Cricetulus griseus: one gene and its partner. The protein of the gene in region 1 purifies or fractionates together with the protein of each later gene. This does not show direct contact. Links are inferred from orthologs where the notes say so. Each region holds a gene or a part of one and is shown in the gene's direction. Other genes may lie near its edges. The genes, in order: Slamf6 and Sh2d1a.

Region 1 (3,350 bases):
GTCACAGCCTGTGTGAGGGCCTGCACAGTGGCAATGGGAGGAGCCAAACTCCTGCAGAGAGAAGGACAGGCAGGCTCTAAAACTATGCCTCTCATTAGTCTCCCTCTTTCCCTCCTCAAGTCCTCTTCCTAGAGCAAAGCCTCAGGAGCCAGAATGGCTTTCTCCCTCCCCCAAGCAGACCCTACCTGTCCTGCCTCCACAAGGGACCCCAGAAAGCCTGACAGGGCCCCAAACTGGGAGTATAAATGGCCTTACCCAGCCCCTGAAGGCAGCCCAGAAGAGACTCAAGAGAGGCCTAAAACAAGTTCAAAGGAGCCCTCAATGTTTTTAAAGATTTTATTTATTATGTATACAACATTCTGTTTCCATGTATATCTGCACACCAGAAGAGGGCACCAGATCTCATAACCGATGTGGTTGCTGGGAATTGAACTCAGGACCTCTGGAAGAAAGGGCAGTGCTCTTAACCTCTGAGCCACCTCTCCAGCCCAGGAACCCTCAATTTATGTATCCTGAGAAGTTCCTCTTCTCTTTTTTTCCTTCTTCTTTTCAGGTGTTTTACCTGAGAAAAATCTACAGTGGCATCAAACATTTATAATTATTGGTACCTTGCTGGCTATAGTCGTTGTGTGCCTAGTCATATGTCTTTGGAAGAAAAGAACAGGTAAATTTTCCTTCTGCCTTCTTCTATCTCTAGAACCGCAAGTGTTTAGGGTCTGGGGCCTCTGGCTGCCAAGGGCCAAGGGAGGGTGGACACAATCTCTGGCTAAATGAATGCATTGGGATGACCCCCTGGGGTGGGGCAGGCTTCTGTTAATATTTCAAGAGTGGTGTCTATTGAGAAAAGCAGGACACAGCTTCAGGGTACACTTGCTCAGCTGCCCTTCATTTGGGACCTGTTACCTGTATCCTCTGGAAAGCCACCTGTTGGGGGAGGAGGGAGAAAGACTTCCCTCACTGAAGTCATGCATTTCAGCTTCTTGCTTTTCTCTTTCAGGTTCTCTTTTTTTGGCTAGCCAACATCCAGGTGAGCATCCATGCTCTTGATTACAGCAGACAGGAAGGGATAAACCAAAGAGGAGAGAGAGAGGGGGGCTGGCCAGAGGGCTGAACAGTGAGAAGGAGAGAAAGCAGAACATGGCTGTTCAGCTGGACCCTATGGTGTCAGAGAGCCTGGTTTGTCACCATGAGACCTGTAGAGTTCCTCCCAAGCATGTAAGGGGCACCACGGTTTTCTATAGCAAGGTCAAGATCACTTACTTCCTTTCTGAGGGAGAAAATAAGTCCCAGTGAAAGGATCCATGAACCATCCACTGTCACCCAGCTGGTTTCGAACAGAGATAGGACTTGAGCATGAAGCACTCAAAACCAGGCTCCGTGACTGTACCATGGATGTTCAGCCAAGGTTTAAACCCCAATAGATAGACACCATTGAAAAAGAAGGTGTGATAAAGAGAGGCTAATGCACACTCATTTTCTAAGTCTCACCCGGTGGGTGATAGTTTCAAGATACCATTGTTGAAGAGAGGGCACAAAGTCAGGGGTCAGAACACTTGCTTTCCAATTCCTGTCCCACTGCTTCCTGAGTGGCTTTGTATAGGTCTACTGAGCTCTCTTGAACCTGTAATTCTTCATCTCTAAAACAGTCAAATCTGTCACACTGCCTGTGAAAACGGTGTCTCCAGAGATCCCTTGGGTGGTGGTGATCTTTAGTCCATCATGTGTTGAGCATGAGGGAGTCACTGAGACTGTAAGTCATAAGAACACCGTTCTTATGAACAAGCTTGAAACAACTGCTTTGGAGATAAAAACAAAACAAAACAAAACTCTAGAGATCAGCAAGACGCAAGAGGGAAGCAGCCCTGTAGTCCCACCACTGATAGCCATACCTTTTTTGTGTTAACCATAGATTCCTCCCAGAACACAGATACTCCAGGCTCTCCAGGGAGCAACACTGTGTATGCACAGGTCACTCATCCAGTGCAGGTAAGTCCTTTCCACTCTGTCCCCCACCACTGTTATTTTACGATTACTCACAAACTTGTCACCATAATCATCCATTATTGGAGAAGGCAGCCATAGAGCTGAGCATCCCAGTGTCGGCTATGATCACCCCTAAGGGAATGTTCACTCTTACTTGATTCCTAGTGTTCTTTAACTGTTTAATGTTCCAGTAGATCTTATCCTTTCTGGGTAGGGACAACCTGCTTGAAAGTACAAATTAGATATCCTCCCTTTCCCTTACTTCATGTAGCATGACACTCAATGAACACAGGAATAGATCAGAGGAGATTATACCTAGGAGGAGCTGTCATCCAGGTAGAGGGGTGCTAGGAGACCCTAAAGTGGTCTCTCAAAAGACAAGGGGGGCAAGTATCATAACCCCTCCACAATGAAGGAAACTAAAGCAAGGGGCTCCCACATAATACGATGGCCTTGGTCAAGCTCCAGGCAATCCTCTTTCCCACCACCTATGATTGAGACAATACTGGGGACACTTTTCTGAATAACTAAACAGACTGGAGAGCTGGTTCTCGTGTTTTCTGAAAAATCAGCCAAAAGAACATGGCATTCTTCAAATGGCCCAGCTAAAAGTCTTGGATTCCCCAAGCAAACACTCCTGGCCAAGCTCATCACAGACTTTGTGAAGTTCCTAAAAGAGAAGACAATAAAGGGTATTCACACCACTTACTCAATTGCCATTCCCAACTCCCGCTGGGAGCAAGCTCTCCAACAAACCCAAAACACTAATGGCTAGCCCATTTGTCAGCTTCTTTAAAAAAAAAAAAAAAAAAAAAGCATTATACCTTGGAGAGTTTCTAGGGCCTTAATTATTCTCTAAATATTAAAACCAGGAGTTTCTATACTTCTAGTTCCCAACCATGACCACAAAGCAGTGACTGGGCCATTAGAATAACAGGGATAAATGGAGCAGGCAATGAAGATGGCTCCAGTTATAGCTAACAAAGACTGGGAGAAAAGATACGATGCAATAACTATCTGGCATGTAATTCTCACAGACAGAGGAGAAGCAAGCATAGAATCAGATGCAAGACAAGGATGTTTTCAGCCCCTCACACATGGCCACCTTTCTGTTGCTCTCTAGTTGGGACCTTGGGATTGACGGGATGTTGCTCTTCTATTTAGGCTGCCTTTCTACTTCTCAAGAAATGTTGCTAGAACCTCACAGATTTAAACTGGTAGAACTAAGTCCCCACCTACTCTTGGCATGCCACTTCTTTCTCATCACACTGTCTCCCCCACAAAAATATATGCATGCACGTACCTCTTTTGTCTCTGTGAGAGCCAAATGCATAAAATTCTTTTTTTGTTGTTCTTTACAGGAAATG
Region 2 (3,826 bases), on another chromosome or scaffold:
TACTATATTCCTCTCTGGTCACATTGTTACTTTATGTCAGGATAATTAATACTGAGATACTATATAAGGAAAAATCAGTACCATTTCTAATCAAAACTGTGTTTCTTAAAAAATCTGTCACTGCAAATAAATAAGCAATTTGATTTATTGTGAAGAAGAGTTGTATGTACCTGATATATGTAAATTTATGTATGGGTTGGTCACAAATAATCCTCTTCCCTCAAACAATACCCTTCAGCTGAGCAATACAAATATTTTTATGGAAAAAATCTTTGATATTTTTGCGATTTAAAAAATTAGTTCTTTGAGAATTTTGTATAATATGTTTTGATCTTATTTACCCTTGTCCTCCAAGATCTGTTCCTCTCTCCCAATCCAGGAAATTTTGTGTACTCTTTGTTTTGATAAATCTGTCTTCTCAATTTGTGCTGTCCAAATATTCTTGGATGTGTGGCCTTCCTCAGAAGCATGATTGATTTACCAGGGGCTATTCTTTTAAAGAAAGTTGGCTTTTCTTCTCCTGGTAGCTATCAATTGCCAGCAGCTCCTTGCCAGAAGTGGGAATTTGTACACACCTCCTCTCTTCATGCTTGGATTTGATCTGGCTTAGGTTGCACAGGTCTTGTGCGTGTTGACATAACCACTGTGAGTTCATATGTGAAGCTGTCCTGCTGTGTCTGGAATACATTGTTTCCTTGTAATTTTCCACTGCTTTATACTCTTTTCACTTCTCTTCCTCAATGATCCTTGAGCCTTGGGAGGAAGGGATGTGATATGGATTCTTAGACACATTTTATAATTCATTTTCTTCCATTTCGCATGTAACATCATAGCACATCATTACATATTTGTAAACATTTTCAGAGGAGGGTCTATTGAGCATAAATATTCCTTATCCTATTATCTGATTTGACCCTCCTTATATAATAATATTGTAATTATTTGCACCATGAGAGCAGAAGATTGTCTTGGGTTATCCCCAAATGGGAAATAGGTAAAAACATCTTTGTTTCATGAAATGCATATTGCATTTTTTCTGTCTACAAAATTTGCCTTCTTGTTAAGGTGAATATTAAAGTAGTGCACAATTCTCAGAGCTCAAATCACCTGGCTGGAAGAAAGTTCTCCAGAGTGTACTGAAGATCAGCTGTGATTCAAAACGTGTTTCCATGGATAATTAAGTGATGGCAGTATGGGAAATGCTCAAATTTGAACAAGAACTGAATTCACTGACAGGATAGTAGCCATGATGCTTTTTTGTGTGTGTGATAAATGTCTTTCCAAAATGTGGTAAGTGGCTTATGTACTACTTTCAGGAAAAGCATTTTAGTTTGACATACCATAAGAAAAGGTCATGTCAGGAACATTCTAGCCTCTGTCCTTAGGTAAGTTTAAGACATGTTTTAGAGATGTGATATTAAATTGAACTTTGAATCTATTGGATTATGAAAGAAAATATTCAGAAAATTTCATTTTAAGTAGAACATTACTGAGGACATTAACTTAGTTCCTGGAGGCTAAAGTTATGATGAATTGTTGATTATCATTTATTAAGTATAGATTGTCAGCAATTCATTGTCAAAAGTGTACTGTTCTCTCCCTCTCTGCCAATTTCTGTGCTTTTGGGCTTTTCTGGGTAGTTGGTCACCAGGAGATTCTTAGCTAGTAAGTGAATTACTTATTAGCCTAAGCAAAGCATCATAAATTAGGTCAGTCATTTGCTAAAGAAATGCTGCATCTCAAGTTCAAATTACTTCTCTATGTCCAGTGGTAATTGTCTTCTCTGTCAGCATTGATAATCAAGTGTTAACTATCAGTCTCCATAGAAATGATGCCTTTGTTGAAAATACATGTATAAGCCACAAGAAACAGCCTAAATGAAGTGTGGTTTCAAATGATTCCCCTCTGGGGAAATATGCAGTCTCTCTTCTGGCAGGTGACCTCAGCTTCACTCGAAACTACTTGGTCTAGTCTTAATCTGAAAGGAATGCAGAGACAATTCTGCTGCTTCTGATTTATGTGTGACCTCAACCTGCTTATTAATTTACTTCAATGCAAGATGATTAGGTTACATGTTTATATCTGTGAAATGAGAATAATTGGAAGAATCAATATCTTCCAATTCACGAGGAAATAGTGAACGCAAGAGATGGGAAAGTGTTTTGAAAAATCAAAAAATGCCCTAAGGAAGAAGTAAGGAGGTATTTTGTAGCCATTTGCACGCCTTTGTAATTTGCAGCCTCTGTCTTGAAGCCAAAGAGTTATTTGGGTCTCTGCGAGAATGGCCATGTTATTTTTAGATGAAGCCTCAGCAGAAAATTAGGTCTTCTGATCATAAGAATAGGGATGGGTAGGAGACCATTTTCTGTCCGTTGACACTGGATAGATGAACACTAAATTACAGCTAAAGAGAACATCTACCATGTGTTTATATTGGAAAACTCCCTACTCACTCCAAAGTAGGCAATGACCAAGAGTAACTTTGGATAGTCAGTTATCTCGAGTTTAAAGTCCAGTTGACAGAAGTCTGTGTGCCAGCCTCATATTTTCTCCTTAAATGCTAAAAACCAAGCAGTTCCCATCTCAAAAATCTTCCAGATGGAATAGCTGAAAAACAACTTTCTAAAAAAAAAAAAACTAGAAAGAAGCAAAACTAGTCATTGTTCAATTGCTCGTAGCAATACTATTTTATTTTCTGTAAAATGACAGTTTTGAGCGGGTGCCTAAAGCACAGCTCATAAGCTTTGTGGGGAATGTTGATTTCAGGCAGTGTCCTTGTGAGAGCACAGATGTCAAGGAAAGAATACATTCTTAACAGCCACCTGCAAATTTGATCTCTTTAAAAATGAACAAATACATAAATAAAGATAAACTTGTATAGTCTTTCATTTACATGTCATAGAGGAAACCTTGTCATGGTGCAGGGCTGACTATGCAAACAATTTGGGCAAAGAACACAAAATTAACATGAAGGATGATTCAGTATGTATTATGACGTAAAATAGTATATGCATCGGCCAGCCATGCAGTTGTGTGTATCGTAACAGTCACTTTTTAAATTTCCTGTGTAATATTTGATATTATAAAATGAGGATGGGGGACATGTTGTTGGTTGTTGTTTTGATTTCTCAGGCTTTTTTGTTAATGACCTGTAGGATCTATACATTTTTTTTATGTTTAACTTCATCCCCTCTGTTGCTGAATTCATTGTGGGTAATGGCCTGTACATCCTTAGAGGTTCAGGATGTATGACGGGTAGCAGTCAGGAAGGGCAGGGCTGTGAGAAAGAGCTTGTACAAACTAGTACTACCCTTGGGAGAACTGCAATGACAGCTCATTAGCTCCTCTTGCAAGGAAATTCAGCCAAGCAAAGTAAGCTCTTCTGGATGTTGTTTTCATTTCTTCCTTATGTTTTCAAATATTTGAGCAAGTTACACAAATGTTACCTCTCTGAGCATCCCTCTCACATGTTATAGGTCTTTTTCTTTCTTTTTTTTTTTAGCATCATGAGGCAAATGAATACTTTTTTCATCTTTTATTTTCCAGACAGCACCTGGGGTACACAAAAGATTTTTCCGGAAAATAAAGAATCTGATTTCAGCATTTCAGAAGCCAGATCAAGGCATTGTAATACCTCTGCAGTATCCAGTGGAGAAGTCCTCAGCTAGGAGTACGCAAGGTACCACAGGTGTGGACACCTGCTTAGTTTTCAAACACTTGGGAAGCTTAGATTTAGGGGGTCAACCTATTCATGACCACATAAGCAGCAGGAAGATCATAAGAAAATTTCAACAAGGAGGTAGCTGCAGCCAGAAAATCAGATGAG

The links.
Region 2: the proteins of Slamf6 (region 1) and Sh2d1a purify together in Homo sapiens (co-immunoprecipitation; 5 studies listed by BioGRID and IntAct, with this or other methods). This does not show direct contact. The link is inferred for Cricetulus griseus from reciprocal best matches to the Homo sapiens genes SLAMF6 and SH2D1A.

The regions. Positions count from the first base shown.
Region 1 is NC_048598.1:20,905,220-20,908,569, reverse strand, and holds part of Slamf6 (SLAM family member 6), read left to right. Parts: intron 1-553; coding exon 554-664; intron 665-997; coding exon 998-1,027; intron 1,028-1,909; coding exon 1,910-1,986; intron 1,987-3,344; coding exon 3,345-3,350. UniProt on the Homo sapiens protein: Self-ligand receptor of the signaling lymphocytic activation molecule (SLAM) family.
Region 2 is NC_048604.1:25,494,316-25,498,141, reverse strand, and holds part of Sh2d1a (SH2 domain-containing protein 1A), read left to right. Parts: intron 1-3,546; coding exon 3,547-3,688; intron 3,689-3,826.